Linked DNA regions of Lonchura striata. The main gene of each other region encodes a partner of the protein of the gene in region 2 in a complex. Links are inferred from orthologs where the notes say so. Each region holds a gene or a part of one and is shown on either strand. Other genes may lie near its edges.

Region 1 (7,538 bases), on a different chromosome or scaffold from region 2:
AAAGGTCACCAGACTGGAACCCTGCCCAGCAGCTTCTACACAGCACACTAACTAGGAGACTTTCAGACTGCAATTTTTCAACATGAGAGTACAAATTAATTTTCTAAATACAGACCTGTACTCTTCATGGAATGAATGGCCTGGATGCCGGCAGGGCTGATGGAGGTTAGCACTTGATGACACAAAAGCCTTCAGTTTAAAATCCAGGGCAGCTACTGACTCCCTGAGTCACCTTGGTGTGCATACTTCAGGCCCCAGCTCCCTGGTGAACGAGGAGATATTGATGCTCCCTGCTTCTCCGAGAAGCCAGAATGCAATAAAGCTTAAAAGACCTCATGATGCCTGCCATAAATCCCAAAGTTAAGGGAAGCAAACATTGTTCATTATGTACAGAAGCCGGGCTTCTTCTATGAAGTGCCTGATTTGGATGTGGAGGCAGGATGCAGGCAGTAACAAAAATATTGGCCTTCCCTGGAGACACACAGCTTAGATCGGACGGTGCTGTGTTCGTGGGGTGATGTGTGGGGTTGGTGATGGCACCTGCAGGCCTGCCACTGAGGTCTGAGAACTGCTGCTCTCGCAGTGCACACAAGAAATTCAGCAGCACAGCCCTCACCAGGACATACAGCTCCCCCACAGCCAGGCAGGATGCTCACAGAGAACTACAAAAAGCAAGCAGTTGGATCATGTTTTCCTAATTCAGAGGAAGCCTGGCTATCCCATAAAATCTCCTGGTGTTGAGAGTGGGGGTTGGAAAAGTTGAGATCCATTTATAGCTGAAAAGTCTAGCAGAGGGCTCAGCGTTGTGTGGAAAAGCAGGAGCTGACAGCTCCGTACAGTCAGCTCCACCCAGCTGGAGGGAAGAGGCAGTCTGAGGAAAGAGACAGGGATATGGAAACGTCTTTCCTTTAAGCTGGGAGTGATGGGAGAGAGGGGGCTTCCCTACAGTGCCAGGAAGAGAAAAACCACTCTCTACTTCTAAATGCATTATAAGAAGCAGGGCAGCAGAAGAGTAGCTTTGGAAAAAATGAAGAGTAGCTGTGCAGCGGATATGGCCAAAAGCACTCAGAGGTCAAGCCCAGGCTGCAGGGCTCTGTGCCTGTCTTCTGAATCCTTCATCACGTCCAGCCCTGCAGCAACACAGACTTTATCACAGGGACAGGGACAGGGCTGTCTGGGAGCTGTGGCTGGGAACGCAGCACCACACTTATTGCTGGGAGAAATGGCTGCTCCCTCACTCCAGCACATCACATCAGCCAACACATCAGCAGATGTAGCAGAATGTCCTTGCCAGCCCTCATGGAAAAAGCTTGGCCCTGAGCACAAGGCACCAATTTAAAGCATCAGCATACACAGTTATTCTGTGATGACTTCAACTCCTCCCCATGTTGTCAGGCATGAGAGGAGAGGTATTTACATAGCTAACCTAATTTAGCTAATAATTATGCATAGCCATAATAAAATTGGGGAAAATATCCACTAAAACTATGTTAAAGAACACACAGGTGATGAGGCTGTAAGAAAAGCAAACACAGTCCTAGGTGAGGCAGTGAAATACCAGAGCTATTGTATAGACTGATGAAAGAAGCATCATGCAAAAAAGAATTCTGGTCACCCACATTTAAAAATTATAAACTCAAATGAACAGGTGCAGAAAGGGCCTGAGGGAAACAAAAAACCTATCAAACAAGAAGAAACTTAAGAGCCTGGCTTGTTTAGCCTAGCCAAATGTAGGCAGAGAGCGGATAGGATTGCTGTCTAAATATATCACAGGAGACAAAACTGCTGAAGCAAAAGTATAAAGCTGGCATGACAACAAGAGAATAAATGCAGTGAACACATTTAGGCTGAAAATTAGACAGAGAGAAAAATCAACCCTTAGGTCAGGAAGCTTTCCAACTGGAATACCTGGATTTAGGATTAATTTTATCAGAGGTCTGATGGGGTTAGAGGATACAGTGCATGTGCCCAGAGATATCCAAAAGAGCCTTTATGGTCCTGTTTTGGTTCCAGCTGGTAATTAGCATGGGTCATTACTGAGATGTCTCCATTCGTGCAACAGACTTTGCTGAGTTGCTCTCCAACTGGAGAGCCCAGGGCAAGCATATGGTGCTCCTCTGCCTTCCCATTTCCTAAGAGCTGCTCACGAGAAAGGACTTCCAGGCTACAGGTCAGTGTGAGAGGGTTGTGTGGATGCACACAGGCAGAGAGAGAGCTACCAGGCAGCCTGGAATACAGGTGTTGCAGTTTGCAATGGAAAACACCCTTCAGGTGCCTCTGCCCAAACACACCTGCTGCCCCATGGTATTAGGGACAGAGATTGCTCACTGTCACCCTGTGGGTTCAGGAAAGAGAGACATTCTAAGCTCTCTTCTGCTGCAGTGTAAGGCAAGGAAACACAACATCACTGGCTATCAAAGAATCACAGAATGGTTTGCATTGGAAGGGATCTCAAAAACCACCTTGTTCCATCCTCCTGCCACAGGCAGGGACACTCTGCACCAGACCAGGTTGTTCAGAGCCTCATCCAACCTGGCCTTGTGCACTCCCAGAGATGGGGCATCCAGAGCTTCCCTGAGCCTCCTGTTCTAATGCTTCAACACCATCAGAGCATTGTCATTCTTGACCCCCAAACTGCAGCCCAGCAGGGTGGCAAGTATAGGCACAACAGCAAACCAATGTTCAAACTGTGAATATTTATATTACAGAATAATGCGGAGGAAAAAAGGGAGAGGGTGAAAAACAGAATCCAAAATCTATTTCAAGGATTAATTTTTGACATATCTACGAAACACTACAGCTTCATAAAAGACTAAATTATAATTTTCAGACACCGCACGGGCGATGACACACGGTTTGACCTCCCCCCGGGCAGCCAAGCTGAGCACCGCGCACACGAGAAGCAGCGAGCCCGCTCCTCCCCGCACAATCCCCGCACTGTCCCACCCGCCCTGCCACCGTCCCTTACCGATCGCCCGCATCGCTCCGCTGTTTACAGCTGCTCCACGGGGCGGGCTCTCGACGCTGCCCGCCCCCACCGGGTCCTCCGCCTAAGGATGTCTGACGTTTCCTCTAAGTTTCCTCTTAAAACATCCTAGCCAGGATGGAAAATTTTGGGAATTTGTGTGCTTCCCTCGTCAGGATACCGGATGAATAGAGTTGCCGTCTCAGATCCATTGTCCCACAAACCACTCCAACCCCCCCCCGCCCCGTGCACTTCTGCATATAGACTTGTTACCTCAATTAACAGAGTGCCAAGGAATCTATCATCCCAACATTCTATTTTTATTTCAAAAAAACAATTATTTTACAAAATTAGAAGTGATGTAGGACAGACATCGCTGCCAGCTGCTGTGTTTCAAATGCTGATTGTGTCAAACCACTGAAAGAATTGTATCTGGTGCAAGCTCACCAACAGCTTTATTATCCCCTACATGTTGTAGCCAACATTTTCAAATCCCCTTTTAGCCAGAAGGTGAGTACTTTGCACGTAAACCATATGAGAAGAGAGGCACAGTGTCAGATTTTCCTTGCTCTGTCAGCACAAGGTCTGCCTCTGCTGCTCTGCAATATACTCTGCTGCATCAGGTGCCAGGAATCAGGATGCTTTGATAGGAGTTTCAGTCCACAGACCAGTATGGGTATCATGGCAATGTCTGCTTATCTGCAGAAATTCTCCTTTTTCCCCTAACTCCAGGGAGGCTGACTGTGAAAAACAAACACCTTGTCAGAAAGCCATGATTGTCCCTGCAAAGTGAATGGTAAATCAGGGGGAGGTGACAAGCATTAACTACCACAGTGGTTTCCTCAGCCAGAGTGCAGACTCTCACTTTACTTAGGCATCTCCTTCCAGGGGAGATCACCAGATAATTTACTCTTTCCCTAGCAAGCAGCTCCTAGACACTGAAGTCTGGATCCAGTCCCAGCTCCAATTTTGCACTTGCCGTGCTGAAATTTAATACCACAGTTTGCAACAAGCCTCCCCAAGCAGCAGGTGCAACAGACTAGTTTGGTTATGTTTTTTTTCCTGAGCTGAGTTAAAACACAGGGAGATGAGACCTTCTATTAAAGCTTAAACAATCTCATGCAGTATCTGCTGAAACTGGGACCACAGACAGCAGGGTGTTCCATGAAATGGGGACGTGGCTGGCCTCTTGCCATCATACACTGCCTTCTAACAGCTCAGAGACTCACAGCAGAGTCTCAAAAACATCAGCTGATTACTGCACAAAAAAAAAAAAAATCCAAATCAAATGAAGGAAGGAGTCTAAATTTGTATGACAGCTGAAAAATTCCCAACCTTAACAAAAAACAAAAACAAACAAAAAAATCACCCCTAACAACAGTCAGAGGCTTAGTCCTCTGCAGCTCGGCAATACTGGCAGGACAGATTCTCATGCTGCCACGCTGGCCTTCCACCCAGTAACCCTGCTGATTATGGATTTGGTGTGAGAAAACAGTGAGCTAATCCCAGTCCCTCAACATCACCATGTCTTTAGCTGCATCTGTGCATTTTAGGTCCCTCTGCTGGCAGTCAGACTGGTAGGATTTTCAGCTCTCTACCACCCGTGTTTGATAGATAACCTGTTCCCAAGTAAAATTTGAGCCAGTGCGGAGAAACACTGCAGCCATGAAACACTCCAGAGAGCCCTGAGGCCTCATTAAGATCCTCTGAATCGTGGCCACTCTGCTCATCGGGGAGGGTAAGAAAGCCACCAGGTCACTTCATCCCTTACACTGAACCCCAGCACCAGTGCAGTAAAGGCTATTTCAGCTGCTGGCCATGAAATAGCTTTTCTGGCTTCAATAATTCTGGTGTGATCACCATCAAGACAGATGTGCACACACCTCATTATGTTAAGGGGGGCAGATGCCTTGTGCTGGCAGTCCACGTGGGCCCTAACCATGGTGTACGGGCTTCTTGGGCCAGATTTCATGGTCTGAGCCATAAGGAAGCCTGAGCACCTTCTGCTCTTTTATTTTAAGTCTAAATGAAATGGCTGGTGCCCACTTACAAAACTTGAGAGGGTTCTGAGAACAATAATCCTTTACAAAAGCAGATTTGCAGCCCAGATAAATCAGAGCAGACTGATGACTGTCAGCTCCTGATCCCTTGACCTACTAAGGGTTTCTCTGAGCTTGCAGCACTTCCTGATGGCAGATGTGGGAAGAGGGTGGTATTTGGGTACTGGCCATCTCTTGAGAAAGTGGATCACAGTCAAAAGGCTACAAAATCACACATTACAAAGGTTGTGGATTTTTGGGTTGTGTGGCTGGACCTAAGGCACACCTGGGGTCAATACTGTCACCCCAGTAATATGGCCCATAGTAGATTCATGAAGAAAAATGAAGGCACATGACTGAGAAAGACATTGCCAATTCAACCTTTTCTTCAGATTGAAATTCTCTTTGCTCTGAGGTATATAGTTAGAGGGAGAAGAAAAAAAAGTAGCATTATAAACAATCTCAGGGAGCAGAGGTGCCTCCCACAGCACGTCCTCTCTTGTGCCAGGGAGGTCCTCTGGGATACCATACAACTCCATGCTCCAACTCACCCAGCCCTCCTTCCCCAGCAGCAGCACACATCTTTGGAAAATAAACTAGAATCAGAGAGTGTGTGTGGGTGAAAGAAAAGCCCCAAGTCCTTGATTTGGCAGCCCAGAGGGCAGAGCTCTGGGCAGCCACTGGCTCGGTGCCTTGCAGGCAGCACAGCCTCCTCTCCTGACAGCCCTTTACTTTGGTTTGCTTTGTTAATTTTTAAGAGGGATGGGGTGGGGGGTTGGGAAACTTTTTCCTTTTTTCTTCTCTCCTTTTTTTTTTTTTTCTTTCGTTACAATCCTTTGTGTTTATATTTGTCACTGTTTGGTGAAAATGTTCCCGTTGTGGCAAAGGGTGACTTTGGCCGCATGTTTCTCCCAGACATGATGAGTGCTCCGAAGCCGTGCTGGTGAGAGAAGGCGTAGCCAGAGCGGCGGGTGCTGGTCCGGCGCAGGCGTCGCTTGGGTGAGGGTGGAGGGGGCCGCTTTTTGGCTTCTTTGATTTTCATCAGGACCTGGAAATAAGGTGGGAAAAGTGGAAGGTACATCATTATTCACAAGCACAGTAGAAGAGAAGCAGAGGAAGGGAAACAAAAGCAGGGACTCAAAGACAAAAATGAGGAAAGGGCATCTTCTATTTTATTTTAAAAGGTGTTAATTGGAGCGTTGTCTGTAAATCATGGGAGGGAATTATTTCCATGTGCATCTCTGTTAATGCCATAGTTGGGGTATGGCTGTAGGACTTACAGTCAGATCACCCAAAATGTGAAAGTCATCTGAACAAGTCAAAATTCCAGAAAATAAATAAGGAAACATTTAGGAATTGGCATATTTAATATAGAAAACAGACTACTAAAGGGAGTTTCTGATGCATAAAATATTTTTATGATTATAATGTTGATTGTTATAGACTTATAGATTCACAGAGTGGCTTGGATTGGAAGACACCTTGAGAATCATCTCATTCCAGCCCCGCTACCACTATATCAGGTATATCAACACTAAATACAACCTGGCATTGAATGCTTACAGGGATAATAGAGAGAATCCTGTATTCCTTGGCAGATGGGAAATAAATATTGCACTTTATTTGCAGGTGGTGGGCTTTCTGCTCCCAGGTGGCCACTGACTTAATCTGCTATCAAGAACCTTTTCAGAATGGGGCTGTCTAATGCAGGAGGCTGCTATTGAGAGCCTGTGGCTTAACAGAACCCCCAGGTGCCAGATTCCTGTGCTTCTTGCTTGGCACAATGGCAGTGGCAGGTGCTTGACATCTCAAACATCAGGCCTGTCTGCTGCCAGCTGGGGGACTCTGTAGAGCTGGAAACCGTCTCCTCTCCTGTGACCATTCATTTCCAAGAGGAGGCAGAGAAGTAATTTTGTGCTAGAGAGAGGGATGCTCAACCTTGGCAATGAGGCTGGGATTCTGGGTGATAGCTGTGTTTGACTTCTGCTCAGCCGGGGTAAACTCAGACCAGTTTTACACCCCACAGCTGCCTCGAGCTGTTTCAAGGACCTCCCTAGCCAGAAGTCTTCTCCAGCAAGGCCTACCCTCTTTGTAAGGGCTAAGAATTCCCCTAACACGTTCTTCTACAGTCATAGAGAACCTGTGGAGCTCCACAGACGTCTGGAGGATGACCAGGGAGAGCGTCAACTGCGGTGCCTTCCCCTGGGGCTGTGCTCTGACCCCGATTCGCAGCAGCTCAGCGCAGGGGAAGGAAGGAAGCACGAGGTGGCAGTAGCATTCAGCAAATGCTCCTGTTTGGAAGCGAGCCCGGGGAGCCCTGTGTGCGCTGATGTCTTGAGGGGTCCCTTGGCTGCAGCGAGCAGTGCGCTCCCTGCCCACTCCATCACTCCCTGCCTCTCCTTGCCCTGGTGCCCTCAGCTTCATATTCCCGAGGATGGGAGAGAAGCTCGTTCCAGAGGGGGCATACAGCCATTGGCTACAAAAAGTAAATTCTAAAATAAATTTTAAAATCCCCAGCAAACATATATAACACA
Region 2 (7,563 bases):
AAATGCTTTGAGTAGCTCTTCATCCAGGTTTTCCATAACTGATTGTTGGCACCCTGATAACACACTGTTGCAGGGAAGCATTTTTCACAGGGCTTCAGACAAGAACTGTAAGAAACTCATTCCTGTACACCCACCCAAGGGAATCTGGGTATCCAAATGCCTCCACGTTGTTATCTCTGCATAACATCTCTGCTGTCAATGACCCTTCCTCATCAAAATAAATCTGCTATGGCATGAATAGGAAATTCACTTCACTGAAATAATTATCTATTATATCTTTTCAGGGAGAAATTTTCCAAGGTAATTATTTTGATGATGTATAAATCACAAATTCTTCTTAATAGAAGACCTATGTAAAGGCCCTGCAGAACTCCAGTAGTTCTTAGCTGCTGGCATGTGACAACAGCTACCAACAAAAAATAAAAACCAGCCTAAAAATCCGCATGATTACAGTAAGCCAGGTCTCATTTGCAAAGAGTTCAAATCACCAGCCATCTGGAGAAGCCATGTTCATTCCTCACTACTACCAAACTAAGGAGGAAAAGAGGAAAGGAACTAAAAAATACAAAGTTTCAGCATGCATATAATTAATACCTCTGAGCTCAAAAAAGGTAGCAGAGCAGTTCCTGTACTTCAGAGGACTGGTCATTTAGCCAGAATTAAAGCTCTGCAAATACCGGTCAACTAAGAAAAAATAAGAAACTAAGAGAAAACAAGAATGTTTCAGCATCAAGTGCTGTGCTTCTTGACCAAGCAGCCTTGGCCTTCAGCTCAGTGAAAGGCAAGAAGGTGCCAGAACCCACAGACTTGTCAGACCACAGCACCAGGTCCGAGCTCAGCCAGCCCTGGGCGATGCTGCAGAGCTGCACATGACACTGCTCTGTCACACTGCCCTCCACTGCACAAGCTGCACTGCTCCCAGCAGGCTGGCAGCTCCCAGAGAGAAGAAAGCTCCTGAACTCAGGAAGTTCTGCATGCTCCCAGTGACAACGATCTCACTAAGCAAACACTGCCTCTGACCCACACTGTTCACGCATAGAGAAACCACACTCTTGGTGACCCCACACTTCCCACACAGAGCTGTTTGAAGATCTGAAGAGAAGTCTTGCAGGGCCCTCAGCTTCTTGAAGATAGCAAGATTAAACAAAACAAAAAAAAAAGCCTATTGACTTTGCAAAATTAAAATTAAAAGTATATTTCAGTGTCAGACAAGATTCTAAGACCCATATCTTACTGAACAGTACAGTGAACTAAAGAAGCAAAAGCAAAGCACAGATCATCTGTGTTATTTTTAAATATCTGGCACAGCTGAAATCACCAGCAGCTTTTCAAGATGACCTGTTCTAAAAACACACAAACCTACTACCCCTCTGACATATTTGCATACAGGGGAAAGCAGATGAGACATAATTATCCTATCTAGTAACAGTCCACTTCCTATTGCAGGGAATAAATGTCAATAAACAAGGCAAGCAAACTGTTTCATGCAAGCAGAGACAAAGCTTTCCTGTTGGGGTTAGCAAAAACAAAAACAAAGAAAAATCAATAGTCAAACTACATTGTGAGATTTAATTACAGGAGAAAACCACAGGCCGCCTGACAATTCTCACAACACTCCTTTCACTGGATACACTACAGGGATTTCGCTCAAGAAGACTGAGCTGGCAAAATTTGTTTAATTGTTTAAAATGAGAAGTCTTCCTCAGAGTTTTCACCATCCTGTTTATCTTGCCTGAACAGTTTTGGAACTCATCAGCAACCAACAGAGCCACTGCTCTACTCAGAATGCAGCGCTTGGTTGCAATAATCCAAGGCTCCCAGAACTGTCTGGGGTTTAAGCTGCTCTGAAGCTGCTGTCCCGTCTCCCTTCTTAGATCCCTTCATGCAGACACAGTTTAGCGTAGAAAAAAACATTTCTGACGTGAAGCTAAAGCTTCCGAAGGTGACAACTGCCAAGATCGTGCAACATCACCCTTTCATCAAGGGCTGCGCCTCGCTGCATGCCGGGACCTGCCGCCCCACGGACCACACCTCTGTTAAAAGAAGAGGGTGGATGCACCCTTCTCCAGTTTATGGAAATTCAGCTGTAAGCTGCTGGAGTGCTACCAACACCGAGCTGCACCGACGGCAGCGATCTTCCCCGTCCCAATTCCTGTGTACCCAGACCAAAGCACCAGACACTGGCACAGTTCACACGCTCAGCCCTCCAGAAGTTTCTGAGGTTGCTGAAGTATTTAAAGGTCTATTTTCAAAAAAAAATTCAAACTACACCTTTTATCTACACCTTTGGTTTTTAAAACCTCAGACTACACCCTTTATTTTTATATATTTGCATTCTATGCAATAACGAGAAGTACACAAAGCTACCACCTCTTCCAGGATTTATTAAAAAAAATAAGGAAATCTGGAACTGAGACTTCAGGCTGAAGCATAGAAAAAGTCTTAAGGAATAATTAAGACAATAATGACTGTTAAAACGTATTAGCTGCCGCACTGGAACAACAGTCCTTAGGGCAGCCAGCCCTTCCCCTCGATCCCTAGACTGCCTGTCACAGGGGAAGGGAATTCCCTCCCCATCCCAGCAACAGATTAGTGGGTGCCGTCAAAACACGCGCTCGCCAAGGCTGATGCCGGCAGCACTGCCGGTGGTGTCCTGCCTTCTGCGTGTCTAATCTGCCTTTTCCCAAACGCAGCCAAGCTATTTACCATAATATCCTGCGGTAGCCAGTTCCGCAGGTTTATCAGATAAAACCTCCCCGAGCCCCAGCGAACGCGCCCCGCCATTCACACACACAGCGCGGGGTCCCGCCTCAGCCCCGCGCCGCGGCACCGGCAGCGCAACGCCGAGGGCGGCCCGGGCGGAGGGGCCCGCCCCTCCCGAGCCCCCCGCGCCGCCCGCCCCAGCCCCGCCGCCGCCTCCGGCCCCTCACGGCCCGAGGGGCGGCCACCCCGCCAGCGGCCTACCCACGCCCCCGGCCGTGCCGCCCGCGCTCACCGCTGTCGCCGATGATGAGCAGCTTGAAGAGGTGGTCGTAGTCCCGGGCCATGGCCGGGGCGCGGCCGCGGGCGGCGGAGCGGGCGGGGGGGGGGCGGGGGGCGGCGGCGGCTCCGGCCGGAGCCACTTCCCGGACAAACAGCCGGAACTGACAGCGGGGCCGCCGCCGCGCATGCGCCGGGCCGCCGCCACGGGCCGCCAGCTGCGCCGCCGCGCCTGCGCCGGCCCCGCCCCGCCCCGCGCCGCGGCTGCGCGGGAAAACGGCCGCGCCCTCACGCGCCCGCGCCTGCGCGCGAGGGGCGGTGGCTGAGGCGGCGGATGGCGGCAGCGTGAGGGTGAGGGACCCGCCGCCCTCCGCCCAAACCCGTCCTGCCCCCGCGCCGAGCCGCCCACAGGCCTTTCATCGGGAGCGCTTTGCCGCCCCGCTTCCCGTAGGTGCTCGTGTGAGGACGCGGCTGAAAGCGACGCTGCCCCCAGGGAAGCATCAATGGCGTGAGGGAGCCTCAGCACTCCCAGCTCTGCTCCGAAGGAGCGATTTGTGTAGGTACAGGAACAGTTCCCAGCGCAGCCCAAGCCGCAGGTGAGGAGCCCCACAGCAGTGATATGAGCTACCCAGGTGTGTGTCACAGGCCTGGCAAGTCAGGCCAGTCTGAAATGAATTCCTGGGGTTTTTAATCCAGAGATGTTCCTGTGTGTGGCTCAGGAAGGGCTTTGACCTCACGCCCATCAGCAGCTGTGCTTGCACCGTCCCCAGCTCATATATGCAGTTCAAAAGCACTCCCAGTCATCCAGCAGCCTCAGTGATTTTGTTATCAGTTGCACAGACACTGATTACACAATTACTGCAAGACTGTGGTCACTTTTTAGGAGATCGTCACTTCTAAGTGGAGACATGGCACAAGAAAAGTGCTGGCTTTTTGCTGTGATTAATTTTTCTTTAAAAAACATTCACACTCGTACTTGAACTCCTGAGATCAAGTTTGAATTATTTAATGAAACCTGTCTTACTAACATGCATTGTCATTCAGATAGGAAGAGGTATATTAGCACTAAAGAACTTGGATTGTTACAGATTATAAATGAGTCTGTATTAGGAATAAATTGTTCCCTGTGAGGTGGAGAGGCCCTGGCACAGACTGCCCAGACAAGCTGTGGCTGCCCCATCCCTGGATGTGTCCAAGGCCAGTCTGGGTGGGGACTGGGGCAACCTGGTCTAGTGGGTCATGTTCCACCTAATTATGAACCTTTCTTAATCTTAACCTTCAAAAACACATTATAGGTTTCAAAGTGCACCCTGTCAAGGTCCTCACATCCTGGAATCCATTCATGTGACCTTCAGCTGACATTCACTCTGCAATTCATGCATTTTAAACACCACACACATACACACACACACACACATATATATACACATACATACATATACACACACACATATATATGTGTGTGTGTGTGTGTGTATATATATATATATATATATATATATAAAATCACTCACCCCAGACAAGCACTGGGGCAATCCAGCACCACCAGAGTAACTGAGGACGCAGTAGCTGCAGGGAAATTCCTTGAATCCAGCACACAAACCACCAGCTCAAACCCAAAATGACAGTGACTCCTATTACCTCTATTTTTAAGCTCATGAAACCTCATCATGTGAAAAGTGTCATGATGTTACTAAATAAAATGGACAGTAAGAACTGTGACTGATCAAAAAAAAAATCAAAATATTTGAGTATTTTATGCTTTTACATTTGTCTCTCTTCCATTGTAATTTTTAGCACCTTGTAAACCTCTCTCATAAATTATTTTTTGATCTTCTTGAAATGCACACAGTTCAGCTGTCACTCAGAGACAGTTGCTTGACAGTTCAAAGATGTTATTACCATCAATTGAAGGGAAAAATTATCTTTTACTGGCAACTGGTATTTTTAAGACATTTGAAATAAGAAAATTAATTCTTTAGTCTCCAAGTTGGCACAATCAATTTATCAGATCTCGTGGCAAGCATTATGGCTATTTTATCTCTGATATATTATACTGCAATGTATAAATAGTTTAACAAAAGTAGCTATCAAAATCCAAATAGAGTGTTTCACTGTGACTGAAAAATCAGCATATTCTCCACAAGTGCAAGTGAGCTCCTACCTTTCACTCCTCCCTCCCAGGAACAACTAAGCTCAGTGCAGAAATTCAGGTGTTGTTTGGAAAGATGAATGAGGTTTTCCACTTGCTGCTACCTAAGCTGGAAATACAAATCATCAAAATAATAGAATATCTTATTGGTTGAAATGAACAAGTTAATAAAAAAGGCTTCATTTGCCTATAATTTTCTTTCCCATGTTTATCTGGAGCATCAATTGGAATCAGAATAGGTAAGCCAAGGTGCCCATGATCAAGAGCTCAAACAGCATCTTCACCAAAACTTGCCATTTTTTCATTCCTTCCTGGCTGCAGTGATGGAGTGAGTGATTCCAGTACAATCACAGCTTTTTGACACATTCTTAGTAGGTTTTGAGTGGCATCAGATTTTGTACATGTGTCAGGGCAGAGGTTTTTGCATTGCATGGTTTAACTGCTGTTCCTGGGATCCCAAAGCACAGCTAATTCATCACAGGTGAAACTCATTCCAGTGCCCCAAGCTGCCAAATCTTTAAGAGCATTTAGCTGAGTTTTCACTCTTGAGTATTACCAATTCAATGCAAAATATGTAGTTTTCAGATGATTTCAGATTTGCAAGTATTTTGAAATGCAAAAATCAGAATTAAAACCCATCTTAAATGTGATTAAATAGAACACAATTTCTGTCACACCAACTGGGAAGCGCTGCAGTTTTGTAGAAATGTGTCCAATGCATAAATACAAGATTAGACATAATTAACTAAAGAGCCATTTTTAGTTTGGCTTCATAGCTGATCACAAACTAACATGTCCACAACATGGTGGTGTTGCAACAAAGGAACACCCAGACCTTGTGCTGGGGCGGACAACTGTGTTTGTTAAGTGGGGCTTGCAAATCAACTCCCCAGGAGACCTGGGCCAGCAGTGGACACCTCAAGGCAAAAAGGAGTCAGAATGAAACAAATCAACATGAGGGGCAGCAGTGTAGGTTTAGAAAACATGGAAATCTCTAAGGAAATACATAGAAAATCTGAATTTATTTCATCCAGGGATGAGGATACTGAAGTGACAATGTGGTTGCTGCAAAAAGGAACTGTTTTCAGTGTCTGTGGGAACAGGACAAGCAGCAATGGATTCAAGTTGCAGCAAGGAAAACTTTTTCTTCAGACATGAGGTACATTCCTGACAGTCTGGTAAGTTCATATAACAAAATAGATGGCATAGAGAAGTTATGGAATCTCCATCCTATAATGCTATAAAACAGCTGTGTGGCAGTCTGCTAGGAATGGTTTAGTGGGAGCTGAGCCTATCTTAGGTAAAGGGTAAAATATCTAATTGCCCAAGTTTCCACTAACTCCTACAGCAAATCTCTTGTCAGGATGCTACACCACAGGCTGGGAACTGACACAGCACCAAGAAACTTTTGTCAGATTTTTGTACTTCTGACCAGAACAAACCACAGCATTCCCAAATACCTGCTCATGGTTGTATCTTGCTGTTTGAGGCCTGAGTATGATAAAAATGTTCTTGTGTTTACTGCTACTGCCATAACAATCAGAAAATTGCTTCTAGCAGAATGTGTGCTCCCATGGAGTTCCACTTAATGCTCTCAGATTTTATGTGTAGTGTTGTGTTCTCCCATCATCATGGTTTGAGGCATCCAGAGTTATAAAGAAGGAAGATTACATGCACACACATACACACCACCCACATGAAATAACAAATCTTAGTGCTCTGGCTTCTCGGGTGCAACCACCTTCTGTGAGTTTCATACAATAGGTAAGGCTCACGTAACTATTGCTCCACGTGAAACATAAAGCTCATTTTGCCTTCTAAAAATTTGTATTCTGCAACAAGATTTTCAGTATATCCATCAAGTGACATCAAATCTACTAGTAAATTGATTTTTTTTCAAGACAGATATATGTGGCCAGGTAAAATAAAAGACTTTCTTGGAGCAGCACAACTCATTGACCAAAAAAACTAACGCCAAGTATTTTGTGATGCCTTTGAAGACGTAAATACAGAGGACTTTTCACTAGTTGGGTAATTAAAAAGCTGTCTGTAGTCAAAAATACTTTGGAAATCAACAGGAGTAATTACTTACAAATTTCATTAAATGTCAGTTCTGCCTTGGCTTTAAACCCTGTCTTGCCTCAGTTCTGCAAAAGGTTTTCACAGATCACAGCATTGTCCACTCTATAAACTGTATGCTCTAAACCAAACAGGTTTGAAAAGTAAATCACAGTGTAAGTTTGTTGACAAATTAATTTGTATAAAGAACAGTTTACATCAGAAGGATCAAAGTCAGAGCCTTTATTAAATGTTCCTTCTCTAAACGGACTGCATTTAATTCCCCTTTCGCATCTGTGATTTCTAAGGCTATTTTAAATACTTCGTTTTACAGGGATTTTCAGTCTTCAGAACCGTCACAAGCAGCAAGTTAG

What was found. Proteins that work in one complex are often made in the same cells at the same time.
Region 1: the proteins of RAB35 (region 2) and RUSC2 are in contact, whole or in part, in a crystal structure (PDB 6IF2), measured with the Homo sapiens proteins. The link is inferred for Lonchura striata from reciprocal best matches to the Homo sapiens genes RAB35 and RUSC2. Residues at the interface, in NP_006852.1 of Homo sapiens: Asp4, Tyr5, Leu8, Phe9, Lys10, Ser22, Leu26, Asp30, Ile38, Thr40, Val43, Asp44, Phe45, Lys46, Ile47, Lys58, Gln60, Trp62, Thr76, Arg79, Gly80, His82; in NP_001129471.2 of Homo sapiens: Val997, Lys998, Asn1001, Asp1005, Val1008, Thr1013, Arg1015, Lys1020, Glu1119, Glu1155, Leu1158, Leu1159, Gln1161, Pro1162, Leu1165, Leu1166.

The regions. Positions count from the first base shown.
Region 1 is NC_134642.1:39,875,469-39,883,006, forward strand, and holds the start of RUSC2 (AP-4 complex accessory subunit RUSC2), read right to left. Parts: upstream 3,014-7,538; 5' UTR 2,969-3,013; intron 1-2,968. Other genes in the region: phospholipid-transporting ATPase ID, read right to left, coding at 5,831-6,052. UniProt on the Homo sapiens protein: Associates with the adapter-like complex 4 (AP-4) and may therefore play a role in vesicular trafficking of proteins at the trans-Golgi network.
Region 2 is NC_134620.1:5,002,340-5,009,902, reverse strand, and holds the start of RAB35 (ras-related protein Rab-35), read right to left. Parts: upstream 3,088-7,563; 5' UTR 3,048-3,087; coding exon 2,996-3,047; intron 367-2,995; exon of another isoform or gene 1-366. UniProt on the Homo sapiens protein: The small GTPases Rab are key regulators of intracellular membrane trafficking, from the formation of transport vesicles to their fusion with membranes.